Cricetulus griseus: one gene and its partners. The main gene of each other region encodes a partner of the protein of the gene in region 3 in a complex. Links are inferred from orthologs where the notes say so. Each region holds a gene or a part of one and is shown on either strand. Other genes may lie near its edges.

Evidence for each region.
Region 1: Timm50 (region 3) and Timm17a share a complex: the UniProt entries of both Homo sapiens proteins name them as parts of the TIM23 complex. The link is inferred for Cricetulus griseus from reciprocal best matches to the Homo sapiens genes TIMM50 and TIMM17A.
Region 2: Timm50 (region 3) and Timm17b share a complex: the UniProt entries of both Homo sapiens proteins name them as parts of the TIM23 complex. The link is inferred for Cricetulus griseus from reciprocal best matches to the Homo sapiens genes TIMM50 and TIMM17B.

What each region holds. Positions count from the first base shown.
Region 1 is NC_048598.1:53,937,117-53,941,903, reverse strand, and holds the start of Timm17a (mitochondrial import inner membrane translocase subunit Tim17-A), read right to left. Parts: upstream 3,283-4,787; 5' UTR 3,225-3,282; coding exon 3,199-3,224; intron 525-3,198; coding exon 425-524; intron 1-424. UniProt on the Homo sapiens protein: Essential component of the TIM23 complex, a complex that mediates the translocation of transit peptide-containing proteins across the mitochondrial inner membrane.
Region 2 is NC_048604.1:114,362,530-114,367,392, reverse strand, and holds the start of Timm17b (mitochondrial import inner membrane translocase subunit Tim17-B), read right to left. Parts: upstream 3,296-4,863; 5' UTR 3,259-3,295; coding exon 3,233-3,258; intron 2,109-3,232; coding exon 2,028-2,108; intron 1,652-2,027; coding exon 1,552-1,651; intron 1-1,551. Other genes in the region: Pqbp1 (polyglutamine-binding protein 1), read left to right, coding at 4,045-4,111. UniProt on the Homo sapiens protein: Essential component of the TIM23 complex, a complex that mediates the translocation of transit peptide-containing proteins across the mitochondrial inner membrane.
Region 3 is NC_048602.1:7,569,561-7,574,658, reverse strand, and holds the start of Timm50 (mitochondrial import inner membrane translocase subunit TIM50), read right to left. Parts: upstream 3,203-5,098; coding exon 2,849-3,202; intron 2,015-2,848; coding exon 1,864-2,014; intron 1,101-1,863; coding exon 1,069-1,100; intron 868-1,068; coding exon 846-867; intron 1-845. UniProt on the Homo sapiens protein: Essential component of the TIM23 complex, a complex that mediates the translocation of transit peptide-containing proteins across the mitochondrial inner membrane. Has some phosphatase activity in vitro; however such activity may not be relevant in vivo.

The DNA of each region.
Region 1 (4,787 bases), on a different chromosome or scaffold from region 3:
GGCCTCTGTGGGCACCAGGCATGCACATGGTACCCAGACATACATGTATGCCAAAACAAAACAAAACAAAAAACAACACACATACATAAAATAAAATAGGGATGGAGAAATGGCTCAGTGATTAAGAGCACTTCCTGTTCTTCCAGAGGACCCAGATTTAATTCCCAGCACCCACAAGGCAGCTCACAATTGTCTGTGACTCCAGTACCAGGGGATCTGATCCACGGGCACTAGGCAACAAGCAGTGCACAAACATACATTCAGGCAAAATGCCCATACACACAAATAATAATAATAATAATAATAATAATAATAGATTAAAACAGAACAAACGATTATAAGTGTAATATATTTCTAACCCACCGATGGGACCAACCAGCCCTGGTTTCTAGTGAAGATAAAATGAAACCAATCATTCACTCACCACTGGAGAATTTCGAAAACCTTTGAAGGCTTGAAAGATACCGCCACCTATGGTACCCATGGTAAAGGCACCACCACAGTCATCCACAATCCGCCAGGGGCTAAAAATGGGAGGAAGGGGAGAAAGAGGATCTTATTTCTCATTCATAAACCATATAAACCATAAAATTTTCTTTGCTTTATAAAAGAAGGAATGCAACAGGTTCCAGTGTGGAGTCTACTGCAACCAATAAACTTTTAGGTTGTAAAATAAGGGCAAAGACACTAAACATATCCATAGCTATTCAGTCTCAAGTCCTCAAAGGCAGAAGGATTTAACAATCTCATCTTTTAGCCGGGCGTTAGTGGCGCACGCCTTTAATCCCAGCACTCGGGAGGCAGAGGCAGGTGGATCTCTGTGAGTTCCAGGCCAGCCGGGTCTACAGAGTGACTGCCAGGATAGGCTCCAAAGATACACAGAGAAACCCTGCCTCAAAAAACAGAAAACAAACAAACAAAAAGGTCTGAAGTCTTTTCAGGATAACTAAGTTCAAAACAGCATTTTAAACTTTATAGCACACTAGACTAATACCTAATAATGTTGCACCCTAACTCACACAACACTGAAATATAAGTAATTTGATCAAGAGATCAAAACTCCTACTCTAGGAATCTGGCTAATAAAGGTCTTTATAGAACCTAGGACCTGACACACAACATCTCCAGCCTTGTTAAGTCAATTGTATTACCGTAAAGATTTATGTAAGTTTTTCTTGGTATATCGCACAAAGCCTATTTATACACAGCACACATATACATATACACAGACACACAGACACAGATACAAGACACCCCCCCACACACACACAGACACACCCCCCACACACACACAGCCACACACACAGTACAGGGTAAATTCTGTTTCAGCCAACTCTTAGTAGAGTTGTAATTAATTCTTCCACCACCATCTTCCAAATAAAAAAGCTGCTACTTCACTTTTAGCACACATCATCTACCATGTTTCAAATCTAAATGAATTCTGTGAAGCACTAAGAGTATTGTTTCTATAGTGTTCATATGCTCATTGGGCAAGCACATAGAGGCTTACTCAGGCTTATAAATAATGTCACAACAAAATCTAAAGTTAGCAAAGTCAAAGAAATTTCTCAGTATATCTGACAGCCTCAAGAGATAAGCACAGAACCAGGAGTGGTGGCACATTCTGACAATCCCAGCACGTGGGAGGAAGAGGTAGGAGGCTAAAGAGTCAAAGGCCAGCCTATGTTACACAACAAAACCCCATCTTAACCCCAAACCTATGGTCCCTCCCTACAAAAAGACAAGCACTATAGTGAGCTAGCCCATGGACAATCACTACAAGAACAAGAACACTTTTAAACTTACCATTATTGCCCACGAGAATCTGAATAATGACTCATTTTCCTTTAGAATTCACAATCTTTTAACTCGACAAAAAAGATTATGACTATCTCCTCTGAATTTTACAGTGAACAAAGGCTCAGACAGACATTAAGTAGCCTGCCCCAAAACAAATAAGGAACTAGTACAGCCAACTAAAAGCAAACTTTGGTAAACTCTTTCCACTGTATTTATGTGGTCTAAAGGATTCTGAGAGAACAAGTCATACAAAGAAGTATTAAGACAATGATTAAACCCATATACTGTTTTAGACAGTGCTGTTAACCCTCTCTAGAGGAAGAGTGAAGACACACGGCAGAAGCCGATCTTTGAGGGTGACAGCACAGACTGCCACTAAATAATAAAGTCCTGGGCAGATGCACAATCGGAGGATACCAATTTTTTTTGTTGTTGTTTTTCGAGACAGGGTTTCTCTGTGTAGCTTTGGAGCCTGTCCTGGCACTCGCTCTGAAGACCAGGCTGGCCTCGAACTCACAGAGATCCGCCTGCCTCCCGAGTGCTGGGATTAAAGGCGTGCACCACCAACGCCCGGCTTGATTCTTTCTCATTATAAATAAAAACAAAACAAAATCTGAACAAAACCAAACATCAAGGTTTCCTTATTTGCTTGTGACCCTTGAGGCTTTACCTTGACAACTTGAGATTCAATAGCTATTTCACCAATTTACAGCTATTTTGCTTTGCCTGATTTACTCATGTTTGGACACTGAGCCAAGCACAGAGCCCTCACTTAATAAACGCTTACTGAATGAATTTATTTCTGTGTATGACTTTTCTGGGAACACATGCAGCTCATCTTTTACTATTTTCCAGATGGTCACTTATGTCCCTTTTTCTTCAGGAATTCCACGCAGGAAATGCCGCTCCAGCCTACAAGGAGCTTATCCAGACCCCTTGGACACTGGTTGAAATATATGGCCTACTGTTTTGAAATGCTTCTTCATGGGGGCCTTATTACCATACAAATAAGGCCTCGAGTATGTCACTAAGAGATCTACATTCCCTTCGTGGACGTGGAAACTTGAGCAAAGCAAGGCCTAGGGACATGTCCAAGGTCACCTCAGCGGGCAAAGAGGATCACTATTACCCCCGCACCAGATCGATAGCACCCGCCATAGGGAGGAGGTTCCAAAGCTCCACGAAGCCCAGCACTGGACCTCCTCGCTAGGCACAAGGTCACCGGGGTGCTGGGTCCGGGCACACAGCGCGGAAAAGCCACCGGGTCACTCTCGCCCGCACCACCCACAGCTGCCCAGCTCCCGGCGCCGAGCCGCGAGGAGCTCTGCTTGCACCTGGGACTCCGACCGCGGCAGGCGGAGGGGGGTAAGGGGCAACAAGGGAGGCTGCGGCACTCACCACGGCTCTCTCGCGTACTCCTCCATCTTGGTTCCAGCCCGCGCGAAGGTCCCGGGCACGCCGGACTTCCGGAAACTGAAGTGACGGAAGTGATCCCAGGAGAGGGCGGGTTACTGGGTTACTGGGCGGGGATTGGGGGCATCGTTTCTTGCCGCAGCCAATAGCAGTTAAAACTCCGTGTAGACGCCTGGCGTATACTACCTGCTACCCCGCCAGCTCCTCAAAGTTTGCGAGGATTCCGGGTACAGAGCACCCAAACTTGTTAAATAGTGTACTGTTTGTTTTTTTGAGTCAGGATTTCTCTGTATAGTCCTGGATGTTCAAGAATAAACTATGTAGACCAGACTGGCCTCGAACTCACAAAGAGCCGCCTGACTCTGCCTCTTGAGTGTGATTGAAGGCATGCACCACCAAAAGTATTTTTGCTGAAAACTATTATTAATAATGCTACTTAATTTGCCGTGAACGGTGGATTTTTTTTAAAGATTTTATTTATTTATTATGTAGACAACATTCTGCTTCCGTGTATATCTGCACACCAGAAGAGGGCACCAGATCTCATAAGGGATGGTTGTGAGCCACCATGTGGTTGCTGGGAATTGAACTCAGGACCTCTGGAAGAGCAGTCGGTGCTCTTAACCTCTGAGCCATCTCTCTAGTCCGAACGGTGGATTTTTAGCAAATGCTCTTCACCAAACATCCCACTGCTCCCATCTCCTCCCATCTTACAGTACCACTACTGTCTGGTCTCTATGGCTGTGGCTAGCTTTGTGCTCTGATCTTCAGGCAAGTTTTATTTGTTAGATCACAAACAAAAATATCACCACAGGGGTCTGATTTCCAGCACCCACATGGCAACTCACAATTGTCTGTAACTCCATTTCCAGAGGACCTAGCACCCTCTTCTGGCCTCTGCAAGCACTAGGACCACTTGTGTTACACAGACATAATGCAGCCAAAATACCCATTTTTTGTTTGTTTGTTTGTTTGTTTTTGTTTTAGTATAGTTGTTTATGGGAAAGTCAATATAATTAACAGACTACAATGACAAACTTTTGTAAATAATCGTCAACCCTCCACAGAGCAACAGAATAGCAATAAAATGTCTCTAAAATAGTTGTCAGAAGCTGGATGTGGTGGTTGCCTGTAATCTCAGCACATAAGAGATGGGAGACAAGAGGATCACAAGTTCAAGCTCATCCCCACTTAAAAAGCAAGTTTAAGACCCTCTCTCAAAACAAAACACAGTCTGGCTAAATTGCTTAGTGAGTAAAAGTGCTTGCAGCTGCGCTGCTGACTTGAGTTCAGTCCTCAGAACTCACAGACTGGAAGGAGGGAACCCGCTCCTATGTCTTGTGACTGCCGTGTTGCCATGGTACTCAAGCACACACACACAAAATGTAAAGACTTAAATGAAATCTGAGACTTAGGATATTTTAATATATGTGTATAGCATAGAAAAACCAAATAAGACTAGAGAGATGGCTCAGGATTGCTTCAAAATTTTGAGGACCCAACCGAAGTTTGGGTCCCAGCACCCATGAAACAAGCCTAGCATCTGCAAATGCCTGTAACTTCAGCTTCAAAGG
Region 2 (4,863 bases), on a different chromosome or scaffold from region 3:
ACTTCCAGCTAGGCTGACAGGCCAGCAAGCTCATGGGATACACCTGTCTTATGCCTCACCCCTTCTAATGCTGGGGTTATAGGCACAGGCAGCCATGCCTGACTTTTGACATAGGTGCTGGGGAATCAAACTCAGGTTCTCATGCTTACAAAGCCAAGTACTCTTAGCCACTGAGACTTATCTCCAGCCCTTCCCCATAATTGCTTTTTTTGTTTTTTCAAGACAGGGTTTCTCTATAGGTTTGGAGACTGTCTTGGAACTTTCTCTGAAGACCAGGCTGGCCTGGAACTCACAGAGATACACCAGCCTCTGCCTCCCAAGTGCTGGGATTAAAGGTGTGCACCACTATCACTCAGCTCATAATTGCTTTTACAACAGTGACATCTAATGAGATCTCCAAGGGTAGGGAGCTTCAGGGACAAGGTAGAATTATATTAAAAGGGCCCCCCAATTCAATTTAAAGGCTGTTCTCTCTGTCAAACTACTGTCATTTTTCTATATAGAGGATTTTAACCCAGAGTCTGTTTTGAGGTAAAATCATGCCAGGCAGTGGTGGCGAATGCCTAAAGTCCCAGCACTCAGGAGGCAGAGGCAGGAAGATCTCTGTGAGTCCCAGGCCAGGCTGGTCTTCAAAGAAAGTTCTGGGACAGTCTCCAAACCTACAGAGAAACCCTGTCTTGAAAAAACAAAAAAAGTGTCCTGTTTTGAGGTAAAATCTATGTTGCATACACATTTAAGATTTTATACTAGCCTTTTTCTTTTTATTCTGCTGCTAAGGAATGAACCAACTACTCTACCACTGAGTTATATACTTGCTTCGAACAATCTTTGTATACTATAAATGTTATTACTCTCATTGTTAATAAAAAGCTGATTGGACTATGGATGGGCAGGATTTTCAGGACGGAAAGAATGCTGGGAAGGAGGGTGGAGTGAGAGGAGTCACCAGCCAGTTGGAGAGGAAGCAGGACATGCAGGAGAGGTAAAAGCCATGAGCCACAGATTAATAGAAATGGGTTAATTTAAGTTGTAAGAGCTAGTTAGTAACACGCCTGAATTATTATTATTATTACTTTTATTGGTTTTTCGAGACAGGGTTTCTCTGTGTAGCTTTGGAGCCTATCCTGGCACTCGCTCTGAAGACCAGGCTGGCCTCGAACTCACAGAGATCTGCCTGCCTCTGCCTCCCGAGTGCTGGGATTAAAGGCATGCACCACCACCGCCTGGCTCACACCTGAATTATTGGCCAAGCATTTATAATTAACAATAAGTCTGAATGGTTAATTGGGAAGCAGCTGTCGAAACAGCTGATCAGAGTCCCTACAAAAACTCCACCTACATATGCTTCTAGCTCCTAAGACTGTTTCTGACAGTACAGCATTTCCATGGAGCTCCAGCTAGATAGTTGAAGAACAGAGGTACGCAAATCATAGGGCCAGGAGCCAATAGTAGGTGAATGTGTAGTAGTAGGTGAATGAATGTGTTTTCAGAACAGTATTCTATGTCAGTAAGACTGCAGACTCCCACACCACCAAGGAAGGCCCAACTCACAACGGGGGCATTACGAAAGCCCTTGATAGCCTGGAAGACTCCACCACCAATGACACCCATAGTGAAGGCTCCACCGCAATCATCCACAATTCGCCATGGGCTGCAAGCAGGAAGGAAAAGATAGAGTTACTGTGAGACTCTGCCCTGCCAAGCCTGGACTCTTTGGAACTTGGAGAACCAAAATAGGAAGGTCATGACTGATAAGAAACACCTCAGATAATAACAAATCAGTTCTTTTTTTGTTTGTTTTTTTGAGACAGGGTTTCTCTGTGTAGCTTTGAAGCCTATCCTGGCACTTGCTCTGTAGACCAGGTTGGCCTCAAACTCATAGAGATCTGCCTGCCTCTACCTCCTGAGTGCTGGGATTAAAGGCTGGCACCACCACCACCACCACCACCACCACCACCAGGCAGTTCTGTCAGTTTTTAATATGACCCATAAAGCCAGAAAGGAAAGCCAGGCATGGTTCTACATACCTGTAAGCACAATGCTTGGGAAGATGAGGCAGGAGGATCACAAGTTGGAGTCCAACCTGGGCTATGAATGGAGACCCTGTCCTAAAAAGAAAGTTTGTGCAGCCAGGCAGTGGTAGTGCACACCTTTAGTCCCAGTACTAGCATGGCAGAGGCAGGCAGATCTGAGTTCCAGGCCAGCCTGGTCTACAAAGAGAGTTCTAGGACAGCCAGGGATAGACAGAGAAACCCAGTCTTGAAAAACCAAAACCAAAAAGAGAAAAAGGTTTTCTGCTCTGAGCGTGGTGGCACATGCCTTTAATCCCAGCACTTGGGATGCAGAGGCAGGTTGATCTGTGTGTTTAAGGTCAGCCTAGTCAGAGTTCCAGGCCAGCCAGGGCTACACAGTGAGATCTTGGCTCAAAACAAACAAAACCAAAAACGTTTGTAAATCTGTCTATGGCGCAAAAGTGGGAAAACATTTTTTTTCTTTTTCTTTTTGAGAGTGAGGGAGGTGCCTCACTACATAGCCTTCCAAATGCTGGGCTTATTACTGGAAGAATATTGCTCTCGATTACAACTGAGCATCAATCCAACTGTTTTGTTGCTGTCAAAAATCAAATGGATTGATATGTACAAAGAGTTGGCAGGTTTCAACAGTGGTAACTACCTAATGTTATTTAAGTAAAGCAGAACAGGGTGGCACTCTGTTCCCCGAAGGGGTGGGGGGGGGAGAAGCACGTCCAAGGAAGCCCCTGTACAGTGTCATTTTAAAATTTAAAACGGAAAAATCAAAAGCCATGAGGAAGCTCCAGGCCCCACCCCTTAACCCACAGTGGATTCATGAACATGCCCTAACCGGAGTCAAAAACCAGTCTGGGAAAGGCCACGAGAGGAAACTGTGGGTTTTGGCTCCACGCCTCTCCTCCCCCTCTGCCGGAATGGATTTGCCCAGCGTCTCTCTTTTGGCTCACAAAAAGTCTCTAGGAGAACAGTCAGGGGAAGAGTGAGGTGGTTTGTCCCACACCGCACCAACAGGGACACTCCACTGTGGCGGTTTTTAGCGAAGTCCGAGTGGGAGGAGCCAGGCCGGACGCGCCGAGGCAGTAAAGTTTCTAAGCCTCCCGAGTCAGGGACTTGACAGTGTAGCCGTTGCCTTCCCCGCCCGCCTCCCGTCGTTGGCCTGGGCTTCGCAGGGACTGTCCCGAAGCCTGTGCCCATCGCCGTACCAAGGTTCGCGAGCGTACTCCTCCATGGCGCCAGCGTCTGGCCTGGAGCAGACAGTCGCACAGACGAGCCACTCCCCCCCAGAAACGCCCACAAGAGCGGAGGCGTCTTACGTAGGCCAAGGAAACTATTGGTTTTCTTTGCTTACGTAAGATCAAAGGCGCACTCTTATTGGCTAGCCAGGCTGGCCACATCCGTTCACTGCAAGCCCTGGAGTCGACCAGTTAACTACACCTGGGGAGAGTGGGGAGCGTTTTGTGCTTTAAAAGAAGAGCCCTTCGATATTGGTAAGCATAGTGACAAAGAGGGGGAGGAGGACAGGGTGACAGACTTTGATTATCCGCATAGCTGCACTGCTAACGCCGAGGTGGAAGCTTTCTTTTAAAGCTGAAGATGGTGTTGGCATTTTTGCACCCCCATCCCAGCGCCTTGGTTCCTCCCACAGTGCTGACTTAGAGGGACGTTGGGTGATCCCATTTCTGGGTTGCGGGTGAGCTCCGCTTGGTCCCTCTGGCGATGGGTGGAGCCTTGGCCTGAAGAGGAACTGGGTCTTCGGTGCATCCGGTCCCCAGTGCCCCGGTCAGTAGAGTTCTGGTGGTACTAGTCCTCACCGTATTGCCACGTACTTCTTTCATCTTTTAGCACGCATTTTTTGTGCTGTCTTTCCAGCTGCTGGCGCAGTTAGGTAGGTGGGGGGTCAAATGAGCACATGCTGTAGTGTGACGCATGGTTACTGGATATCCTGATTGAAATGTTTATCGGATTTGCCCTTCACTGCCTTCTGTCGGTTCCTAGGTCTGGTCAGCAACCCGCAATGCCGCTCCCTGTTGCACTGCAGACCCGCTTGGCGAAGAGGGGCATCCTCAAACATCTGGAGCCCGGTGAGAAAGCTAATAGCATCTAATACCGTGTGTCAGTGTTAACAGATGTCTGTTATTCTGTTCTCTAGCTCCCCCACCTCTGCCCCTCGCCCTGTCGAACCCAAGGTGCATGCCGAGCAGGCGCTCTACCATCATCCTCAGCCCCAAAGCGCACACCCTTCCCCCCGCCCTTTGCGTTGCTGGGTTCAAATCCAAACTCTTGGATGTGCTGTACTATTGAGGTATATCTCCTTGATAGGCTTTATTGTTGATACTTGATACCTTGCATGGCCTGGAAGGCATCTCAATGTCACTTTACTGATACCCATTACTACTGCTTGGTAAGTACTGTGTGATGTGTAAGGCTGGTGAATAGAGTTTAATTTAACTCATGAATCAAGTGGACACGGTGACAAGTACCAATAGGATCACCTACTTAGGAGGACAATATACGAAGATGACTTGAGCCCAGGAGATCAAGGCCAGCCATGGCAACTTGCCCAAAACCCAGTCTTCAAAATAAAATAAAATAAAGCTAGCCAGGCATTGGTGGTGGACGCCTTTAATCCCAGCACTCCAGAGGTGGAGGCAGGCAGATCTCTTTCGGTTCAAGGCCAGCCTGGTTTACAGCATGAGTTCCAGGACAAGCTCCAAAGCCACAGAGAAACCCTGTCTCCAAAAAACAAAACCACACACACACACACACACACACACACACAGAGAGAGAGAGAGAGAGAGAGAGAGAGAGAGAGAGAGAGAGAGAGAGAGAGAGA
Region 3 (5,098 bases):
AGTAATTTGCTTAAACCAGTGAGGAGCAGGGGATGGTGGCACACACCTTTAATCCCAGCACTTAGGAGCCAGAGACAAGTGGATCTCTGTGAGTTTGAGGCTAGCCTAGTCTACAGAGCGAGTGCCACAACAGCCAGGAATACATAATTAAGAAATCAAAAAATAAATAAGAACAAATAAACAACAGAAGCAACAACAACAACAACAAAAACCCAAGATAAGAAACCAAACAAACAAAAACCCAGGAGACCTGAAATCTGTGCACTTAGAAAAGCAGACTCAGTCTCCTGCCTGGCGACCAGTGACACAGTCAGTGCTTGTACTCACTGTTTACACATCTCACCCAGGGGGCTCTGTGGACCCAATAACTTCACTTTCTGTCAGGAAGGGTCAGCTAAAATTCACAGCTACTCTACTACCTAGTTTATCAGAAGTCCTCACCAAACTCTGCTGAACCTGGGGTATGTTTGGAGAAGGGGCAGGGCACAGACACTGAGAGGCATTGTTTTAGAAATGAGGCATGGGGTGGGATAGGGACTTAAGGATTTTTAAACAAACAAAAAAGAGGCTGTCATAAACACTCAGGGGCCACAGATGCCCAGATCTAAGGCCCGGGAAGCCGGTATCTGGGAGGGACTGCTGCGGCCCCCTGCCCCCATCTGTTCCTGACCATCTGCTCCAGGCTGAGGGGCTTTTGTTATGTCCCGCCCCCCCAAGCATCTAATTGTTGAACCTCCATGGAGGAGGAGGGGCTGGGGTACAGGACAGAGGAACTGGCACTCCAAACAAAACAAAATAGCAGAGATGGGGACACCAGGGACTCCCAAATCTGTTAAATCACTCACCATTGTCGAATTCATCAGGGATCTGAGAGAGAAAAGCAAAGGTTTGGGTTGGCAGAGGGGTCCCAGGACATCCACTCAAGGAGCTCCAGGCTCAGTAGGCAAAGGTCCCGGGGAGGGAGGGAGGGAGGGAGGGAGGGGCGGAGGGGCTCATTTCAGACTAGAAAGGAGCCTGAACCAACCAAAAGCAACCCACCCTAGCACCTCTGGGTCTAACGCCCCTCACCTTGGTGCCATTTTCATCCACCGAGTTGTTTCCTGCAAGGGAGACAGAGACGGATGAGAGAAACTTGGAGTCTAATCTGCTGGGTCTGGAAGGGTTAGGAAGTGAGGGGTTTGGACAACCCCGTCAGAGGGGATGTTGCTAGAGGCACAGCTCCTGGATTAAGGGAGGAAGAGAATGGGGGGAGAAGGGGCAGGATTCCAATATATTTAAGAGAAGGTGGGCTAGCCAGGCATGGTGATGAATGCCTTTAATCCTAGCACTCAGGAGGCAGAGCAGGTAGATCTCTGTGACCTGGTCTACAAACTGAGTTCCCAGGACAGCCAGGGCTGTTACACAGAGAAATTTACACAGAGAAATCCTGTCTGAAAAAAGAGAGAGAGAGAGAGAGAGAGAGAGAGAGAGAGAGAGAGGAAAGAGAGGGGGAGAGAGAGAGAGAGAGAGAGAGAGAGAGAGAGAGAGAGAGAGAGAAAGTGGTCCGAGTCTGAGATTACACACAAGGGGAAGGTTAGGCTTTTGCTGCTGAAGGGAGACACAAGACATAGCTTCAGACACTGGGCCAGCCCTATTCTTCCCATTGTCCCCTTAGTTCCTGACTTCAGGAGGGACAGGGACCAACTAGAGGCTAGAACTTTAATTAAGTACAAGGGGTAGAAGGGGACTTGTTGAGTTTCAAGGTGAGTATCCCCGTTGAAGGCCCTATTGAGGGAGGAGCCAGGGAATGAACAGTTTGAGGAAAGAAGGGGAGGTTTCCCAGTAGAAATCTGGGGGCCAGCAAGCCAGGGGTATGTCTCTCACCAAAGATATAGACGATGCTGACAGTCCCACTGGCCCCAAGCAAACCAGCAAGCCAGAGTGCAACTTTTTTGGCATAGCTGGGACCTTCTGAGCCTGGCTGATGCTGCGGCCCCTGGGCCTTGGAGCCTCCACGACTGGCGATCTCAGCAACCTGAGCGGAGGGGAGGAGGCGAGGTCAGCTAAGAGGAAAACAGCAGGAGGCTCTCTCTGACCTCTAACTCGGTCCAAGTAGAGTCAAGATCGAGGGACGTGGACATACACAGAGCCCCAGAAAAACGTGTCCCTGGAAGGGCTGAGTGGAAAAGTTGGTCCCCGCAGAGGGGCAAAACTATAAAACTGTGTCCGGAGGATCACAGGGGTTCGAGGGCTGACAGGCGGGGCTGCCCGGGATCCTGAAAGCAACAGGACTGCAGCAGGGTCTGGAGCCAGGGCGAGCAGGGCAGGGAGAGTCAGGGCTGGCGGGGAGAGCAAAACCAGGGAGCCGGAGGGCACCCAAGGGACGGGAGGAGCGGTTAAGACACCCGGACATCCCGGGCCGCAGAGGGAGGGGTGGGAAACCCAAGAGATCGGGGCGAGGCGAGGCGATCTCTCTCGCCTGGAGCTCAGGACGGCTGTCTCCGGCCAGCCTTCCCGGCTCGCCGCCCCCGAGGCGGACGCCGCCCGTCCCGCCCTCCCCCGGCCGGCCTGGGACCCCGGCGTCCCGGGCGGGCCGCTCCCGCGCCGGCATCAGGCGAGGGTGACCTCCCGGCAGCCACGAGGCTGGGACGCGGGCTCCGGAGGATGCACCGGGGGGCCCGCCGCGCCCCAGCCCGGCGGGCGGGCGGGCGAGCGGGCGGCAGGCGTGGTGCTCCCGGGAGGCTCGGGGGCGCCGGGAAAGCGGGCTCGGGGACGGTGAGCGCCCGGGACGCGGAGTTCCGGACGGCCCGAGCCTGACGGGGGGGGGGGGGAAGCCCCGGGTCGGGCGGGGTCCCCGGGGCCGACTCACCTGCTCTGGGGCGCGGGGAGGAGGCGGCGGCGCTAGCCGCGTGCACAGTCCCCGCGCGCCGACCCGGAGCCCGCTCCGCAAGCGCGAGAGCAGCGCCGCCGACGCCGCCGACGCCGCCATCTTGCGCTGACGCCGCGCGGCCCCGCCCACTCGCCGGCTCGCTCCCGCCCCCCGGGCGGGGACCGCGGCCAATGGGGAGGCTGAGGTGCGGCGTGTGGACGGGAAGGCGAGCGGGACAAAAAGGTGTGGGCGGAGTCCCCCTCCCCGGCTGCGCTCTCCGCGGACCGCTAGTCCGGGGCTGTCAGTGCCCTCGCCCCCGCGCCCGCGGAGCACGCTGAACTGGAATGGGGCCATCTGTCACCACGCCCCCCTGGTGCCTGCCCTAAGGACCTCCGCCGCCGCCCAGTCGCTGGGACATAGGCGTGAGAGATGGACAGATGCTCAAAAAGCGAGCTCAACCGGCAGCCCTCGCTTTTTTTTTTTTTTTTTTTCTTTTTTCCCCCCACGCTGAAGCGGTCTTCTCTCGCGTCTCCAGATCACTTTTTAACCCCTTCTACCATGTGTTTCTCGAAAGGGCTGGAGATCGTATCACTCACTTGGCTTCCTTCACTCACCCATAGGAACAGTGCGTGCTGACTGAAGACTGAATAAGAAATCAGTGAATCTGGGGTACAGGAAGACACCAGGAATGTCCCCCAAGTTGTTTTTAATGGTGGAAAAGCCAGGTTTTTACATTGAAACTTTTTTTTTTAAGATTTATTTATTTATTTATCATGTATACAGTGCGTGCCAGAAGAGGGCACCAGATCTCATAACGGATGGTTGTGAGCCACCATGTGGTTGCTGGGAATTGAACTCAGGACCTCTGGAAGAGCAGGCAGTGCCCTTAACCGCTGAGCCATCTCTCCAGCCCCTACATTTAATCTTTTTTAAAAAAAAGTACTAAGATAGTAAAAAAATACAAAGTTGGGTAAAGGAATTCAGAGAAATGGTTATTTCTGGGGTGGAAAGAAATGGATTGGGGCCGGGCACTGGTGGCGCACGCCTTTAATCCCAGCACTCGGGAGGCAGAGGCAGGCGGATCTCTGTGAGTTCGAGGCCAGCCTGGTCTCCAGAGCCAGTGCCAAGATAGGCTCCAAAGCTACAGAGAGAAACCCTGTCTCAAAAACAAAACAAAAAAAGAAGAAAGAGATTGGGGTTCTGTTAAGTTACATGTGTGTTTGAGTGTGTGCGCCCTTGTGCCACAGGGTGTGGAGGACGGCTCTCTCCTTCCACCCTGGGGGTCCGGAAATCAAACCTGGCTCATTTGAACCAAGGCTGTCTCCCTTATGGTTGACTTGGAGGACATGTTTCCAAAGTCAGTGGTTAGGACACTTCCTTGACACGGTGAGTTCCTGTTGGCCTTACATACTGTAAGTGGGTACAGGGGACATAGGACTTCATGTTATGTCTGAATTTTTAAAATTAGTTTTATTTCGAGACAGGGTCTATGTAGACCAGGCTGGCTAGAACTCATAGAGATCCACCTGCCCCTAACTCCCCTAGTGCTGGGATTAAAGGAGTCCAAGTGCCTTCACCCACAGACCAATCTCACCAGCTTTTGGTTTTTTGTTTTTTTTTTGAGACAGGGTCTCATGTAGCTGAGGCTGACCTATGCACCCGAGGAAGACTGATCCTCCTGCCCTGTCCCAAGTGCTGTGATTTGAGTCATATGCCTACCCTTTGTGAAGACTTGGGCCTATCAAATATGGAAAAGACCAAGGTACAAAGCCTAATTCTGTTAGGGCGCTCATTCCTGCGCCTGAGTTATCAGACTTGCTGAAACAATCCTGGGTTCACTGCTGTCAGCGTTCAAGATAAGACTGCAGGGCTGGAGACAGCCCAGTGGTAGAGTGCTGGCTTAGAATCCACCACTGAGGGGGCTGGGAACATGACTGCAGGAGCACAGGAGATCCCTGGGGAACACTGAGTTGATCTTCACTTAGCCCCAAGAATGTAACTTATCAGTCACATGGCAAGCTGTCTTAATGAAATCATAAAACTCTAGACAGTTTAAATTGCCTATCCAGTATAAGTTAATATTGTTTCAGCTTTTCCATTCTTCTGGCTGGCCTTCAATGGCTTCTGCTACTTGAGGACTCTCCATTGGGTACAAATTCCCTCTGACTCCACCTAGTTTGACTGGTGGAGTACTTCCTGGGGATGAGTCTCAGGTCTGGCACGCCCTGTCTTCTGACCAGGTGTCAATAC